2 linked regions of the Rattus norvegicus genome follow. The protein of the gene in region 1 interacts with the protein of each later gene in a pairwise test. Links are inferred from orthologs where the notes say so. Each region holds a gene or a part of one and is shown on either strand. Other genes may lie near its edges.

The links.
Region 2: the proteins of Crx (region 1) and Ppp1r16b interact in binary tests that used the Homo sapiens proteins (3 or more experiments, as listed by UniProt). The two-hybrid records come from large-scale screens. The link is inferred for Rattus norvegicus from reciprocal best matches to the Homo sapiens genes CRX and PPP1R16B.

Annotation. Positions count from the first base shown.
Region 1 is NC_086019.1:85,666,375-85,674,749, forward strand, and holds the end of Crx (cone-rod homeobox protein), read right to left. Parts: intron 7,636-8,375; 5' UTR 7,604-7,635; coding exon 7,504-7,603; intron 5,068-7,503; coding exon 4,916-5,067; intron 2,574-4,915; coding exon 1,926-2,573; 3' UTR 1,597-1,925; downstream 1-1,596. UniProt on the Homo sapiens protein: Transcription factor that binds and transactivates the sequence 5'-TAATC[CA]-3' which is found upstream of several photoreceptor-specific genes, including the opsin genes.
Region 2 is NC_086021.1:167,739,251-167,749,624, reverse strand, and holds the start of Ppp1r16b (protein phosphatase 1 regulatory inhibitor subunit 16B), read right to left. Parts: upstream 5,635-10,374; 5' UTR 5,555-5,634; intron 5,399-5,554; exon of another isoform or gene 4,592-5,398; intron 4,204-4,591; exon of another isoform or gene 4,036-4,203; intron 3,981-4,035; exon of another isoform or gene 1-3,980. UniProt on the Homo sapiens protein: Regulator of protein phosphatase 1 (PP1) that acts as a positive regulator of pulmonary endothelial cell (EC) barrier function. Involved in the regulation of the PI3K/AKT signaling pathway, angiogenesis and endothelial cell proliferation.

The DNA.
Region 1 (8,375 bases):
GATGTAGATCATGGTGGGTGAACTGACTCCCAAGCCCTTGCAGTTTCCTCACCTATAATGTCTATCAGAGGCATTGCTGTGATGATATCTACAGTTAGGACTGACATATTCTTTTGTTGTACGGGGAACTAAACCAACATTCTAGACATGTACTGTATCACTGAACCATGTCCTCAGCCCCACTGGAGTTCTAGACAGGCTCTACCACTGAGCCACGCCCCCAGCCCCTCACTGGGGGTTTCTAGGCAGGGGCTGTATCCTGACCTACACTGACAGCCTCTTTTAAAATGTATCTGTGATTAAGTTTCCTAGGCAGATCTTAAACTTGAGATCCTCCTCCTCAGCTCCCAAGTGCTGGGATCCCAGACCTTCTCTATCTGTCCTGGTCCTGTGTTCCTCCTTAGTTGACTTTTAGAAGATACAGAGACAAGCATTGCCAAACAGAAAATATCCAGGAGCACACTATGGGCAGAAAGGGCAAAGCAAATCTTAATCTCTTTCTACCTAACCAAGTTTGCCCCTCCTCCCTGCCCCCCTCAAAAACACACAGAAACAAAGAGGAAAAAACACCCTGATTTAAGTGGGATCCAACATCTTTAATCAGTTTCACTCTGGGTAGCCAGGGAAGGGAGATCTGAGAGGCTCAGAGGAAAGGCGTGAACAGAGAAGTTAACATTAAATGACCTTGTCATTCTATGTCCATTTGTCTCATTAGTCTTGTGACTTGGAAAGTAGGATTTGCAGTTGTGGGGGTTGGGGGGAGTGCAAGAGGGTTTTATATAGCCCAGGCTGGCCTCAAATTTGCTTTGTAGCCTAGAATGACATTGAACTCATTATCCTCCTGCTTCCACCTCCCTCGTGTTGAGATCACAAGCATGTGCCACCACTCCTGGCTTATGAAATAGAATATTGTCCATGGGCTGGAGAGATGGCTCCACAGTTAAGAGCATTGACTGCTCTTCCAGAGGTTCTGAGTTCAATTCCCAGAAACCACGGCCATCTGTATGGGATCTGATGACCTTTCCTGGTGTGTCTGGAGATAGCTAATGTGTACTCATACAAATAAAATAAGTCTTTTTAAAAAATAATATTGGACATACTCTGTGGATGTCTAAAAGACCTCTACCCGATTCAACTCCTATAGGCATCTGAAAGACTTCATCACTTGTGCTCCCTCAATCTGACCCTAGGGATCTCTGACTGAGGCACCTTGGGCTCTAGAACATTCTATTTATCTTTCAAGTCCTCCCCAATATTTACATCAAGCTTCTTCTGCATTTTGATTTTATACAAGCCACAGCATCCCAGTGCAGTTTGGTGGCTCATGCCTGTAACGTACATACAGGCACATAAATCATATATACATGTCCAAATGAACAATCTCCTAAACCTACCATGTAAACCTGATCTTTAACTGTATAAATTTTCCAAACGAATTTAGAGGTCTCACTTCATAGTCCAAGCTGGCCTCAAGTTCCCACAATCCACCTGCCTCAGCTTCTTCCATGCTGGGATTATGAACATTGAGTCACCACATCTGGCTTAGGGTACCAGGAGTTCTAACCCAAACATTCTCCAAGTCACTTGCGAGACAGATTTTCTTTCTCTCCAGAGCAAGTTCTCAGCACCTTTACTGAAGACTGGGGAAAGCATCAGATATACACATCGGTCATGCTATCTACTGGTTGCTGCTGGACTGTCTTGGGAGAGGAAGTCCCTTTCATTGCTTGGGGTAGGTGGTAAAGGGGTTAAACTCTAATGGAGCTGAGGGTGGCCTACACCTGGGGCTGAATTTTTCACAGCCTTTGGCAGGATTGCTACTTGCTGATGCTTGCTGAGAGCTACTCTCCTGGAATCTAAGCAGGAGGTGGCAGCCGGAGTCCAGAGAGGGTGATTCCGCTGGAAGGGAGAATATGAAGCCTCTTCTACAAGATCTGAAACTTCCAGGCACTCTGATCTTTGTAGTCCAGAGGGTCCATGGGATTGTAGGTGAATTTCCAGGTGCCTGTAGGGTCCTTGAATTCCAGGCTGTCCACGGGGCTGTAGGTGCTATAGCTCTGGCCTGACAAGGAGGTGGGGGACTGGGCCAAGGATGGCCCCACAGAGGGGCCCGAGAGGGGGCTGAGAGCCGGACCCCCTAGCTGGGGCACCATGGGAGAAAGGTATGGATCCAACCCACTGAAATAGGAGCTTGGAGATGCATAAGCTGAAGGTGAAGAACAGAAAGCAGAAGCAGGGGCATAGGTCATGGCATAAGGGGCTGAGGTGAGAGAGGACCCTGAAGCCACTAGGCCAGCTCTCTGGGCCTCAGGCAAAGGAGACTCTGAGGCCGGACTCCAGATGGATACGGTGGCCACTGCTGTGGTAGGTGAACCTGAGGGACCAGGCAGAGATGGGCTGTAGGAATCTGAGATGCCCAAAGGATCTGTACAAACATCTGTAGAGGGTCTCGGGGATGTGCCTGCCTTCCTCTTCGCAGGACGAGCCTTGGCTTGTACCCCTGGGGGCTGCTGCTGCTGTTTCTGCTGCTGCCTCTGCTGTCTGCATTTCGCCCTGCGATTCTTGAACCAGACCTAGATAGAGAGAGGAAATATGGGGAGAGGGGGGATAAACCTACATGCCAAAAGAAGACAAAGTTGATGGTAAGACCCACACATCACCACTCTACATCCAATGATAGGGCAACTCTGTCCATGATCTGTGTACCTATCCAATCATGCATGTACACATGCACACAGCAACCTACATGCACTGATCACACACATTTGAAACATGCAATCATACGTACATGCATTTATCAGTTGTCATGCATCATCTACTTACCTGATTGATCACGTATGCATGCATACAATCATACATTATTCTCACATAATATGTATGCAGTCACACATACATACCTATATGCATTGACACCCACCTGATCCCATGAATATGTATACAATTATGCATTGTCCATATATGCAATCGTATACATATGAACATATATTTATGTGTTTCTGCTTATGAATGCATGCATTATATTGACATATCATACATATAGTCATGCACATATGAACACATTATATTAACATGCTCCTTACTCATGACTATGTATATGTAATCATACATGCATTATATTCACATATCATACATGCAATCATATATCTGTGCATAAGTACACATATATACATATTCTCATCAGCTAATTTCATAGCATGCACGCACTTAATTTTACATATAGATATAACAATACCAAAGCTAGAGATGTAGCTTAGTTGTAGAGCATTTGCCTGGCTCTGGGTTCAATCCCCCACACTGCAGAACACACACACACACACACACACACACACACACACACACACACACACACATTTCTCTTACCCACTAATCCTCTCAGTCACCTAATAATCATGTACCACCCAGCCTTTATTGCTTAAAGGGAACATCAGAGGGGTTAGTATTCTACTCTGGTGAGGAATATTACTGTTGGCCTAAGTGGGTAAGCCATACAGTTGGGGTGGAGGCTCACTCTAGGTAGCAAGACTGTCTTCAAGCTCAAAGCAATCCTCCTGCCTCAGCCTCTCAAATGCTGAGGCTACAGGTGTGAGCCTAGCATGTTTAGTGTGGTATTCTAGAACTGGTCGGACTGAAAGAAGCTGTCAAGTAAGATGGATACGAGGTAGCATTTCAGCCAAAAACTGGCATTTCAGTTTGAAATTTAAAGCACTGTGATCCATGTGAGTCTCCTTGATTTATAAGATGACTTGATTAATTGACTGGTTGTTGCTCAATAACCGTGATGATGAAACAAGTCCTCTGAAGCTAGGCTTAATAGCACAGACCTGTTGTGATCCTTGCTCTTCAGGAGGTTGAAGCAAGAAGATATGAAGATCAGGGTTTGCCTGAGCTGCAAAGTAAGTTCAAAGCCAGCCTGTGTGACTTAGTGAGACTCTGTCTCCCAGTGCCAATGCTCAAGTGGATGGTGCCACTCCCATGCACATATAAGCAGCACAAACTTGACCCAGTGGGTTTTAAAAGAGGAAGAAGAGGAGGAGGAAGAGAAGAAAAACAAAAAGGACATGAATGAAGCTAAAAGAGAAATGGAAGAGGAGGAGGCTCCTGGAGGTATTGGAAAGAGAGAGTAGAACTGACCTTAATTCATTGTATCCATGTATGAAATTACCCAAAGAATAAAGTTTTATTGCTTATTTAGTTTTTCTAAAGTATAATACATCATTTCCATATTTCTTTCCCTTCTTCTAAATCAAAGAATAATTTTTGCCCCTCCCCAGAATAATTTTTTAAAATGATAACTGCACTCATGTGCACAGACACATACATGAACATAATTAAAAATAAAATATGCACACACACTCAGCATTTGGGAGCCAGAGGCAGGTGGATTGCTGGTACTGGTCTACGTAGTAAGACCGTTGCCTCAAAATTAGTTTTAGCCAAGTAGCAGTGGCATACCCCTTTAAATCATAGAACTCGGGAGGCAGAGGCAGACAGATCTCTGTGAGCCTCGTCTATGGAGTGAGTTCCAGGACAGTCAAGGCTACATACACAAAAGAACCCTGTCTTGAACTAAAATAAATAAATAAACAAACAAACAAACATGTAAATACATAAATATCAAGATAAATAGTTTTAAGATTAAAAAACAAGAGAGATGATGATATATCTCAGTGGTAGGTCACGTGCATATGTGAGGCCCTGAAAGAAAACAGAGTACAAAGGGAAGGAGAACCCTTGGAGGACAGTGTGGTGAGAAGGCATCATATAAGAAGAGTGATATAAGGAATGTGAAGGGCATTTAGGCCATTTCATAAATATGCTACCCTTGGCCTCTTTCCTTCATGCACTCTGGATTTGACAAGGGCCCACAGAAGGTTACAGTAAGGGTTCAAGGGGTCCACGGAGCAGATCATCCTACCTGGACCCTGGACTCAGGCAGGTTGATCTTGAGAGCAACCTCCTCACGTGCATACACATCCGGGTACTGGGTCTTGGCAAACAGGGCCTCCAGCTCCTCCAGCTGGCTCCTGGTGAACGTGGTCCGCTCCCGCCTCTGCTTCCTAGGGGCACCTAAGTGGGGGCAAATTAAAGAACCTCAGGTGGTGGGTTCGGTCCCCAGCTCCGAAAAAAAGACCAAAAAAAAAAAAAAAAAAAAAAAAAAGAACCTCAGGTGGGCTAGGTCTGCTTGCTAGAGGCTAGGAGGTACAGAGGAATGCCTGTCCCAAAGTCCTTTCTGCACATCCATCAGCCTAAAGAAGGGGCTTTGATTGATTCCCTGGCCTTCTAGTGGTGGCTCAGTCCCCAGAGGAATTAAGAGAAGTATTCCAATCATTCATTCACTGGATTTGCCCCTCATTTTGTCTGTTTCATTCCTAACCCCTCCTTCCCTTTCTTCTCTTCCTTCTCCTCCTCTCTCTGCCCTTCCTCCTCTCTTCCTCCTTCTCTCTCTTCTATCCTCCCTTTACTCTTCCCCTCCCTTTTCTCCCTCCCCTTCTCTCTCATTACAACAGACTTTCACTACATAGCCCACACTGGCCCTGAAATCATGGACTCAAGAGATCCTCCTACCTCAGCCTCCCAAATATCTGCGGGCACAGTCACTGCACCAGACTCCCCTCTTGAGACTTTTTTAAATATTTTTTTATGTACATGAGTACACTGTTGTTGTCTTCAAACACACCAGAAAAGGACATCAGATCCCATTACAGATGGTTGTAAACCACCATGTGGTTACAGGGAATTGAACTGAGGATCTCTAGACGAGCAGTCAGTGCTCTTAACTGCTGAGCCATCTCTCCAGCCCGTCTCTTGAAACTTTTTATACTCTTAAGATATATTTGGTTGAGACATGGTGTTATCAATAACCATGACTCCTGCTTATAAAAGTGGTTCAACTTAATGTAAAAGAAAAAGGGGGCCAGCAAGATGGTGCAGCATGTATAGACACTTGTGACCAAGCCTGAGGACCTGAGTTCAATCCCTGGGACCCAACATAGAAGGGAAAAAACTACTCCCAAAAGTTGCTCAGACCTCAACAAGGGAGCCATGGCAAACATCCCTCCTGCTCCCTACCCTTCATGCAAAAATAGTGTTTTATTTGTTCTTCAAAGAAAGAGAAAGGCTAGATAGGTGGCTCCTGCCTTTAATTCCAGCACTCAGGAGGCAGAAACAGGCAGAACTCTGTCAATCTATAAAGAAACCTGGTCCACATGGTGAGTTCCAGGCTAAGGCTACATAGTGAGAGTCTGTTGAAAGGAAGGGAGGGAGGAAGAGAGGGAGGAAAGAAGGAAGAAAAGAAGAAAGGATGAAGGAAGAAAGGGAGTGAGAGAGGGAAGAAATAAAAAGGAAGAGAAAGAAGAGAAAGGCAAATGAGAGAGAGAGATCTGTTAAATAATAATGTATCATAGTAGAGCATGATGGTGAAGGACTTAAATCTCAACACTCTAGAGTCTTGAATCAGGAGGCTGGGACATGCTCAGTTATATAGAGTGAGGGGCTGGGGGCGTGGCTCACTGGTAGAGCCCCTGCCTAGAATCCCCCAGTGAGGGGCTGAGGGTGTGGCTCAGTGGTAGAGCCCCTGTCTAGAATCCCCCAGTGAGGAGCTGGGGGCATGGCTCAGTGTTAGAGCCCCTGCCTAGAATCCCCCAGTGAGGGGCTGGGGGGCGTGGCTCAGTGGTAGAGCCCCTGCCTAGAATCCCCCAGAGAGGGGCTGGGGGTGTGGCTCAGTGGTAGAGCCCCTGCCTAGAATCCCCCAGTGAGGGGCTGGGGGCGTGGCTCAGTGTTAGAGCCCCTGCCTAGAATCCTCCAGTGAGGAGCTGGGGGCGTGGCTCAGTGGTAGAGCCCCTGCCTAGGATCCCCCAGTGAGGGGCTGGGGGCGTGGCTCAGTGGTAGAGCCCCTGCCTAGGATCCCCCAGTGAGGGGCTGGGGGCGTGGCTCAGTGGTAGAGCCCCTGCCTAGAATCCCCCAGAGAGGGGCTGGGGGTGTGGCTCAGTGGTAGAGCCCCTGCCTAGAATCCCCCAGTGAGGGGCTGGGGGCGTGGCTCAGTGTTAGAGCCCCTGCCTAGAATCCCCCAGTGAGGAGCTGGGGGCGTGGCTCAGTGTTAGAGCCCCTGCCTAGACTACTACAGCTATGGTGGGGCATAGTTCCATGCTAATGTGCCTACCTAGAAGCCACAAGGCCCTGGATTACAGCCCAACAACCACTACTCCAAAAAGAGAAAAAGAAAAAGCTTTACAAAGAGATGGAATCCTCCTGATTCTTCTTCCAGACCAGTTCCCTTTCCCTCTTCTCCCTCCAAAGGGAGTCAATGTCATGACTATTTACTCCTCTGAATTCCCGGGGAACATGTAAAAGTGCCTGGAATACCAAACTCCTTTGCAAATGGACATAGAGCTGGTACAAGTTCCCACTGCCCCCTCCACCCCAGGAATGCTTTTTCTCCTGAGGGCAATGAACCTCAGAGGTTCTTAAAAGACAGACTGAAGGTTAGAAGGAGAACACACTTACTTGAGTATGGGACAGCCTGGTGCATCAGGTCCACACTGGGGCCACTCAGGGCCAAGGCATTGACCGAATAGTGAGGTCCCGGGTTCATATACGTCATCATGATCTTCAGAGACTAGGGCCCAGATTGGGTGCCTACAAGAGAACAGGGTGTTCATCCTACTTCAGGTCTTCTTTGGGATCCAACCAACCTTGCCCATCAAAATCAATCTCTCTCTCTCTCTCTCTCTCTCTCTCTCTCTCTCTCTCTCTCATTTTTAGAGGCAAAGTGTTGTGGTATATTCATTTTCTCCCAGCTGAGGAGGCAGAATTCTGTGACTTTGAGGCCATCCTGGTATCCTGGACTACATGAGTTTCAGGGCCTCAGTTCCTAGCTCTGTGTAATTGTCATTTTTATTTCCTCAGATGAAGTGATGAGATGAGAGCTGTACCCAAGGTGTGTGAATACACAACTTGGGCTGAGCCGGGAGTGTTTTTATCTAACTATCCCTAGGCCTAGCCCTGGAAGCTTCAAACCCTCATACAATCCAATCTTCTACAAGCCCAAACTTTGAAGGCCTCCATCTGTTCAATCTAGGCCTAGAATATTTCAACTCTAAGACATACTGAGTAAGTTCACCCTTTCTACCTCTTTCTGAATTCTGGCTAGCTGGTTCAATTCGACTGTCTGGCTCAAACACCTCCACAAGCTGGTTGATTCAGACTGGCTTCTTTCTGCTTCTGACTGAATTGTTCTGCTTGGGAAAACAACTTCTAAACTCCATAAACTGAACTACACTGACTTCACTGACTGACAAACTGGACAGAACTGCATTCAACTGAACTGCACCAAATGCAACTGAACTCAATCCAACTCCTCTCCCTGCAATGTTCTT
Region 2 (10,374 bases), on another chromosome or scaffold:
AAATAGTAGGCATGCTCTGACAGCCTTTGGTCTGAATTACCAAGTGGCTGTTGTCCTGCAGACTCATCTCTCTCCTGCCCATTCAAATCATCCTGTAAGCCAAACCCCCGGGACTCCAGGGTGCACGAGGCCTTCCAAGTTCTCATTCATTCTTTTAATGTATGTGGATTGTCTCCCTGGCTCTGACAACCGGGGACACAGCTGAATGAATTAGATACAGCCACTGACCTCAGAGGACACAAGGTCGAGTGTAACCCATCTCAGCCTTGATGCTATTCACGTTTGGGAGCCTGGAATTTTTTGCTGTGAGGGGCTGTGCTATGCACTGCAGAATATCCCATAGCCTTCCTGGTCTCGAGGCACTAGAGGCCACGTCTTCTCCAGGTCCCTCCTAGCTGGCTCTGACAAACAGAGACACCTCTAGACACTGGCCAGAACTGTTCACAACTGAGAACTGTGGGTCTAGTGAATGAAATAGAAGACTAGGGAACAGCAAAGATGGCTTAGCTGTTGAGAACGCTGTTTGCCCGGAAAGAGGATCCAGGTTTGATTCCCAGCACCCACACGCTAGCTCACAACCATCTGTAACTCCAGTTGCAGGGGATCCAATGTTCCCTTCTGACTTCTGCTAGCACCAGGCACATCTGTGGTGCACATATAGAATCAGGCGAACACTCATGCACACAAAATCAAGTAAGTAAATCTAAAAAAAAAAAAAAAAAAACTAAATAATTTAAAAAGGAAACTAAAAGAAGAATGATTATTATGTAACTCTAGGTATGGTACAAACAGAGCCATGGATGAAAATTCAGTGGACATTGTACCAATATCATGAACAGCTTAGAAGCTACATCACACAGAGGGGTGCACCCCTATAACCCCAGAACCCAGGCTGAAATAGGAGGACTGAGAGTTCAAGGAGAGCCTCAGTACATAGTGACACACACACACACACACACACACACACACACACACACACAAAACCTTAGAAACCCATCACTCTACATCGGATCAAAATCCTTAGGAGAACTCAGAATTCTTTATATGTGCGTTATATATTCAATATATATGGTCTGGGTTTCCAGATGGAGAAATTGGGGGCCCACGGAAACGGAACCATTGCCCAAGGTCCAAAAACTGGCGGAAAGCAGGATCAGAATTCAAACCCCTAAACTTAAACAGTCATCATGGAAAAACAAACAGTTAAGCATGTGCTCGAACGCCTCCTGTCTATAGGCAGGATCTATAGTCACACGATATTCTGAGCAGTCATCCTAAAAGACTCATTCCTCCCTGGGGCCAGCTTAGGGTTTGGTCACCACCTGCCCCATCAATCAAGCTACAAACTACCCGCATAGAAGCACATCTGTGGGACTCTAGTGGAATGCCATCCTGGATTCTGAGACATCCAGGAACACCTCCCCCCACAGTCACCTGCACTCAGGAATTTCCCAAAAGTCAGGGCAGGTTCCAGGAGCATACCGTAGGGTGATCCACCTACCACTCGGCACCCAGGGGCACACAAAGTCAGAAACCAAACACTGTGCAGCCAGCTTAGAGATTTACGAAACGCATACAGGACAGCACACAGCATCTTTTTTTTTTCTTCATTCAAGGTCTCACCATGTAGCCCAGGCTATCCCTAAAATGGCTATCCTCCTGCCTCCTGACCTTCTGAGTGCTGAGATTACATACGTATTCAACCATGACGAGCAGGCATGGAACATTTTTGAAGACTTTGGCATGGGGGACCCTGTCAGGCAGAGGGAAGGAGGAGAGAAAGCTTTATGCTTGCTAAAAGAGACTGAGAAGGAATAGAGAGAACCCTTTGGTATAAAAGTAGCCCTGCTCTTCCTCCCGTGCAGAAATTAATCCTGCTCTTTCCTGGGTAACTACAGTCAGGCAACCTTTTGCAGAGAGCTGCAAAACTGACAAGGCTGCTTCGGGTCAGCGAGCATTTAACCGTGCACAGCCCCTGGCAGGATGACCTCTGACTCCTTCCCTGGCCTTCCTACCGGGACCTGCATTACACTGTTGACTGAGTTCCAGCAGCGACTCCCACCCACGGCTCCCACCCAGAGCTTTCCAGCCTGTACGCACGCACGCAGTTCTCCGTGCACGGGTGCCCATCCCTCCCTCCATTGCCCACTGCCTGGGAAAATTACCACCAAAGAGATCAAATGTGCTCCCGCAATAAGTGTGGCCCACCTGTTATTGGTAATAATAGACTAATAATAATAGCAACTAACATCTGTGAACATTTATTCATCCAGGGACAGCCCTGAGCTAAATCCTCACCCATAGCATCTCTCCTGCTCACTTTACCTCTTTGAGAGGGAAAGGATTCTGTCCGTCCAGCACAGTGTGATGGTTCAAACCTGGCATTTCCTGTGCCCTCAGTTCCCACTTCTTATTATGGAAGCTTTGACTGCACCAGACCCTCTGTCTGCAGGCCTGCCTCTCCCCTGAGATGAGAACCCCCAGAGCGACCTTGGTTATGGCAACCCCTTGCTAAGTGCAAGGTCTGTACACAGGGCCCCGGAGAAAGGATTCCCTGCAGAAGGATTCCCAATTCCCAGGACATTGCCCAAGAGACAGGCTAAGAGGCGTTCTGTATCCCCAGAACTGAAAGCAGAAGTATTACGTCCCTGTAGCCCGGGAGGGAGCAAGATCTACGAGGACCCGAGGAAAGAAAGAAACAGGTGTCACCAACAAAAGTCCCTTCTGCCTGCCTTCCAGCATCCCCATTAAGCACATCTATGATCTATGGTCTCGAGGGGTCCTTAGAGCCCAGTGGGGATGACCACGATGGGATTCTTATCACCCAGAAGAGAAAGGGGGAGGGGCTGGAAAGAGCTTTTTACACAGAGTCCCAAGCTTTTTTCAGCTCAGAGCTGTCATTTCAACTAGACTCATTCTGCTTCCTTGAGTTTTGATACTTCAGGCCGTGAGAGGCTTGTGCATGCTTCCCCCTCCCCCGAAGCTGATTTCTAAGATGTGTTGAGACAAGGGCAGTCCTCGTCTGGAATGTCCATTGAGACCCACTGTCTGCCATAGCATAACAAGCATGGGGGCTGGGAGCACAGGGTGCTGGGATGGGAGAGGGGTAAGGTCCGCAAGAGAGGGTGTCTTGGGGATCAAAACCCAGCACTTGAATCCAGGCCACCATTGCAATCTGCTGCCCTGTGTCCACGTGGTTGCTGCTGGTTGGAGCAAGTTCCCTGAGGCTCTAGTACTAAATTTTCACAAGACAGGACAAGTAGTTGGCTCAAAGGCGCTCTATAGGAAACATATAGCCTTAAAGAAAACCATTTCCCTGCCTCAGCTTCCCCTGGCTCTGTGGCTCATGAAAACACCAACAGCAAGATTAGAATTTAACCTCTGCTCCTCTGGCTCCCGGGCTCCACGAACACAGAGTACAAAGTCTGTGTGGGCACCAAACGCTGGCCTTACTTACCTGGTCCTTCTAAACCAGGAAGTCTAGACTTGGCTGAATTGTCCCATTGCAAGGGGACTTTCCCAAGTGGTCTGTGACATCTAAGCCACAAGTGAGGATCAGTTTGAAACCAAAAGGTTTTTTTTTTTTTAAGGAAGCCATTTCCAAAGGTTGAGAAGAGTTGGGGGGGTTGGGGGACAGGGGCAATGGGAGGTAGACTCCACTTGACAGAGTGGTCTGGTTGGCATCTTGCCCACAGCGTCCCAAGGACTGGGGCAGAGAAGATGGGATTTGGGTGACAGGTGGGAGAGAAGGTGGTGAGAATGTGAGTGGGAAAGGCCTTGCAAGCAGGCAGCACGATGAAAGCAGTCACCGGTCCCTACCGCCTCCTACAAGCTGGCTCTTTGTGACATAACTGAAGGAGGAAAAGTGGAACCCCACATCCCAGCCCCTGCAGAACCACCCACCAGGGCTCCACTTCTGCGCCTCGCTAGGGGACACGCCTCGCTCAAACCCTCACTGAAGGCGGGTTTGCCTAGCAGGGTCATCCATGATGCTCTGATGCACCAAGAGCTTCACGTGAGGCCTCTCTCACTTACCCTATAGCGACCATTCACCCCACTTCTTAGAGATCTATGGAGATGGGGAACCGTGAGCAGACAGCAAGTCGTCGGCTGAGTTGTGCTGAGCTCAGCCTGGAAAGAAGATCTCCCTCCCAACGGAGGTCGGTTCTCCTCTGGTACCTTACTGGCTGCAGGAAATGGCAGGATAAGGCGCACAGGGAAGTGCCCCCCCCCCGCCCCCATACTCCCGAGGGCCCGGGGCGACCGCCAGCTCCTTCCTCAGATAGCCTGGAGGGAAACAGCGCCTGGCACTATTGGGCTCCGGGTCTTCCACAGAGGGCGATTCACAGGCCGCACCTGGTGCTCCCGGCCGCCAGGAGCTGGTGGGCGCCTCTGACAGCAAGAACAGGAGCCCTTTATGAGCAGTGTAATCACATGGGCGCGCAAGCATCGGCTTTCCGTTCTAAGCGCTGTGCAGCCTCATCTCTGTTCCCCCTGCTCTTCAGATTCCAGGGGGAGCAAAGGCTCCCAGGCCTGGCCCGTGGTGGCGGCGCCCCGCTGGCTTGCAGAGAGGGCCATAGTCACAGCTCACCTAGAGACCCGATTATCCGATGCCCGGGACTGGAAGCTGCATCAGCAGCATCTTCCGTAAAGCAGGAGGCAGGGCTGGGAGGGGAGCGCAGAGGAAAGAGAGTCCGCATCCACCCCGGAGGCGGGTAGGAGCGCCTCCCGCTCCTGGTTCCCACTCGGGGCGATCTGGGCGCTCAGCGTGACCTTGTGGGAGACCCCTCAGTCGACCTCTGGGGCAGGGCTGCGCCGTTTCTGCACATCTTGGGCGCTCGGGGGCGCTGTTCCCTGCGGGAGCGGATGCGCGGGACTCGCGAGGAGTGGAGCGCTCCGGGCGCGGGGATCCGCAGCTCGCGCCTAAGGCGGCGGGCAGAGAGGCCGGGAGCATCCCTTCTGGGGAATCACCACGCCGGGGGCTACCGAGACCGACCCACAGGCTCTAGGGGTGGAGATCCCGCCCTGGGTCAGGTTTGTCCACAGGGACACCAGCCTCCGGGACTTTTCCCACCCCGGGAGCAACGCTCTCAGCGCGCTGCTGCTGCTTGCCCAGACCAAGCGCCGCCACGCGAGGGGGCGGCGCCCCCATGCCCGGCTCCTAGACCGCGTGCCCAGGGCGTCTGGTGTTCTGTAGCTTCACCACCCAGCCTTGTAACCCTGGCAGACAGTAGCCCAGACAGACCACGGACCTCACATCGCCCCCCAAAATCCACTCATTGCAGCCCTGGTCGACAACCTGCCAATGCACCCTCTACGTAGACCAGCCTCCCCATCCGAAGGCGAGACGTGGGAGACAGTGGCCCAACTCCCCGGCCTCGCACCCTCGGTACCTTTCCAGCACATCCCACCGTCACCGCACCCCCCCTCCCCAATTATCTTAAGCCACCCTCCCTTGGCCAAGGCACCCCTCTCCAGCAGCCAGACTGGAAGGGGCCGAGACACCTGCCGGATCCGCAGAGTGCAGAGAGGAATGCGGCGCCACTCAACTCACCCGCTCTCTCGAGCCCTGCCCCGGGCGGCTCCCAGCCCCGGCTCAATCCGCAGGTCCCAGAGCCGCAGCTGGTGGTGCGGCGACAGAGCCAGCTCTGCTTGGTAGCGAGCCACCGCGCCGCCTCTTGACTCCTCCCCTAAGGCGGAGCCTAAGCTCTCTGGAAAGGGGTGGGCCCGAGCAGGCCCAAGGGGCTTGTCACCACGCAACAAGAAGGTCTAGGTCTTAGCACCCTCGGGATGAAGACCCCTTTTCTGAGCTGCAGGAATTTGGAAGCAGCTGAGACACAGCCGGTCTTCAGAATAGCTCTCCTTGACTGTGCCCCACCCCTAACCTCCAGTACAGACAAGGAGTAGACAGGGTGGTATTTTATTCCCATTTGACAGGCAGACCCAGTGAGGCCCAGAAAGGGAAAATAACCTACCTATAGTGGCACAGAATGGGGTCAGTGCCCGAAAGTCAACTTCCCACGTTAAGCTTGAGTCAGAAGGCTCTCCAAATATCACGAACTTGGCCAGGCCTTATCTAGAGGACAGGGCTATATAGATAGGTCTTTTAGCTGAGAAAAGGCAACAGACTGTGGCCTGTGACGTGGATTCCAGGAAGGAAGTGGTCGTGCCTAGGCTGATGTCTGTCACCGGCTGAGGTGCAGAGGATCTAGACCCAGCTGCTTCCTTGAGGTTTCCTGCTAAGAACAAGACCCAAACCCCCTGGGTTTCTGTCATGTAACGAAGGCAGCTGCTGGACAGAAGACCCTGCAGTGTGTGCTTTCCCTGAGGGCAATGGGTTTAACTCTGTTTAATTTAATTTTGAAAGTTGCTCCTTTAAATTGCTCCTCCCCCCAGGGAGAGGGGAGAAAGTGGACAAAGAGAAAAATCCCATCCCAAACATTTTCTGGAATCCACATTCCCTGAAAGCTGACTTTGGAACAATGGGGTTCTCTTTTCCACAAAGGGCTTTGTTCCCTGCACTTTCCCAGCCTCCAGATTAGAGCCAGAGGCACCCAGGGCTAACCAGCTGGGAAAGCAACGAGAAAAGATTCACAATTTAGATCTCGGGGATCCTCGGTAATCCTGTTTGAAACACTCGCGATAAAACTCATAAAGCCAGGAGCACTGTCTAAATGTATTGGTTTCCTTTTTGTTTTAAGACAGGATCTCACTAAGCGCCCTGGCTGGCCCGGAATGGACTATGTAGATCAGGCTGGCCTTAAACTCACAGAGATCCTGCGGCCTCTACCTCCTTGGTGTTGGGATTAAAAGTGTGTGCCACTACTCCCTGCCCGATTTCCTATTTGCTCAATACATTCAGTTATTTTTCTTGGAGGAGCAAAACCCTGTGGGTTGAGTAAGGGAATATAGCTCAGTAGATAGAGTGCTTGTGCAGCAGCACAAAACTCTGGGCTCAATCCCCAGTACCCTGAGTGGGTATCAGTACCAAGTGTGGTGGCAAACGCGTGTAATTCCAGCTCTGAGGCGTACGTATGAATTTGAGGCCAGGCTATGGACACATGAGACCTTGTCTCAAAACAACAGAACCCACCTCAGGTTGGGTCCTTCTAAGTCTCCCCCAAGTCTGAAGTCCTCTTTCCTATGCCCCCAGGCTCCCCCTCAGTTCATTAATAATCCAGTTGTGAATGACGCTGATTCTGGAGCAATTAGAGACGGCAGAGCAGGTGGAGAAGGCTCCGAGTGAAGTTTAAAATAACCCAGGGGGGCATTGTTCTCAGCAGAATGTTTCCATCAAGAGCTGTGGGGGGGAGTGGGCGGGAAACCATGTATCTCTTCTAGGGCGCACTGAACTTAGAGCCTGGTTCCCGGAAACAGAGTCTTTACCGGAGTAGGGGGTTCCAAAACTGGGCGTTGTACCGTTCACTGGCATCTCTCACACTACTATACACCCAAAGGGAAGGCAGACTGTACTCAGAGGACCCCTGCTTCCTCATTTCAATCCTACCAGGAAGCTACAGCAATCAAAACAATGTGGTAAAACTGTAAGGATAAACGTACAGGCAGATGAAACGAAACTGAGACTCCGGATGGAAGGTAGGTTCTGCATCTGCAGCCAGCCCCCTTTCATAGGAGCGCCAGCTCAATGGAGAAGGAACAGTCTTTAATAAATGGCTCCGGGGAAACTGAGCCCCGTGCCAAAGGAGGAAGCCTACCCCCACCTCACACCACAAACAGAAATAACTTTAAAATGGACCAGAAAACTAACCTACTTGCTTCTGGAGTTTTACTCTATACAGTTTCACTCTATAGCTCAGGCTAGCCTGGAACATGCTATCTGGCCAAGGCTGGTCTTGAACTCCAGATCCTCCTCCCTGCTTTTCTAATGCTAAGGTGTAGACATGTGGCCACTCCTCCTGGCTCCCAAGTCTACCAGCTTTCATCTCAGACTTCAGCCTACACAACCAATCAAAATGGATCTCCGCAGTTTAAGCCATCAGTCCAGGATATTTTGTTATGGTAACCGCCAGTCAACCAATAAGGACCTACAGAATGGGGTGGGGTGGGAGAATGCTTATATCTATATCTGGTAAGGGGTTTAGAATATATAAGGAACTCTACAGCTCAGGAATAAAAAGAGAGCTCAGTTAAAAACAGGGCAAGGAGGCACCATGTGCCACGATTTACAATCTCAGGATTTGAGAGATGGAGGGAGAAAGATCAGGAGTTCAAGGTCACCTTCCCACCTTCCACCGAACAGTGAAGTATGAAGCCAGCCTGGGCTACATAAAGCTCTGTCCCAAAAGAAGAGTAAAAAAAGAGAGGAGAAGAAAAGAAAAAGAAAAGATTAGATGTGTCAGCAGATAGTCCAGAAAGTCCACTCCTGTGTGAACTGGAGAGAAATGAAACTGTCTTCACTAATATGACAAATATTCATATTATTTTTATCCATGGCAGCCAACGGGCAGGAAAAGACAAAAGGCCCACCCAATGATGGCTATGTGATAAAATATGATCTACCTATACAATGCAATATTATTTTAGAATCAAAACAGATAAAATAGGGGCTGGAGAGATGGCTCAGCAGGTGGGAGCATTTGGTGTGCAACCGTGAGGACTGGAGTTCTGATCCCAGCATTCAGGTGACGAGCTAGGTGACTCCAGCTACAGAACAGCTCACTACACACACACACACACACACACACACACACACACACACACACATACACACATACCACACACACACACACATAGACATACACATAGACACACACACCTACACACACATACACACATGCACCACACACATAGACACACACATACATACACACACAGACACACACACTCACACACACATACACACACAGAGACATACACATAGACACACACACCTACACACACACATACACCTACACACATACATACACACACAGAGACACACACACACCACACACATAGACACACACACACTCACACACTCACACACACTCACACACACTCACACACACATACACATACATACACACACAGACACACACATACACACACATATACACACACATACACAGACTCACAACACACACATACACACACATATACACACACATACACAGACTCACAACACACACACATACACACACAGACACACACTCACACATACATAAACACACACACTCACACACACATACCCACACACTCACACACACGTACACATACATACACACACAGACACACATACACACACATATACACACAGACACACAGACACACACATATACACACACATACACAGACTCACAACACACACATACACACACACTCACACATACATAAACACACACATGCACACACACACACACACACACACACACACCACTAAATGTTTTTTAAATGGAAGAGACATGCAAGAGGTTCTCAACCTGTGGGTCACAATCCCTTTGAGGTAGCATATCACATATCCTGTATATTGGATAGTTATATTACAATTAGGTTGTGAAGTAGCAACAAAGTAATTTTATGGTTGGGGTCCCCACAACATGAGGAGCTGTGTTAAAGGGTTGCAACACTAGGAAGACTGAGAAACAGTGTGCTAGAGAGATGGCTCGGCAGTTAAGAACTCAATGCTCTTCCAAGAAGACTCAAGTTCAGTTCCAAGCCACATACATTTGTTTTGTGTATATGAGTTACATTGTCCCTGTCTTCATGCACACCAGAAGAGGACACCATTACAGATGGTTGTGACCCACTGGGTTCTCTGGAGTCACAGAATTTATGGGTAGTCTCTATATAGTAAGGAAATCTGTTGATGACCTACAGTCTGTAGCCCCAATTTCCCAACAATGGTCAGCAGCAGCTGTGAATGGAAGTCCAAGGATCTAGCAGCTGCCAGTCCCACAAGGCAAGCAGTTGAAGAAGAGACGGTCTTCCTTCTTCCAATGTCCTCATGTAGGTCTTCAGCAGAAGGTGTGGCCCAGATTAAAGGTGGGTACCACCATGCTCAGATCTGGGACTTGCTTTGTCCCAGATGACCTTGAACTCAAAGATCTCCTTGCCTTAGTCTCCTGGGATTCGTAGCCACTATGTCTCAAGATCTCCATGCCAAGATCGAGGTCAGAAACTTATGTCTTCCAGCCTCAAGATCTGGATCACAGGTGAGCCTTCCAGTTCTGGATTGTAGTTCATTCCAGATATAGTCAAGTTGACGACCAGGAGTAGCCCCTACAACCCACCCCTTGTCAACCTAACACAAATAATATCTCACGTGTACATGAAAAAATAACCAGGTCATGAATATGATTAATATAATATAACTATTCCTCGTACAATCACAAACGCATTTTCCTCATACAATCACAAATGCACAAACACATCCTT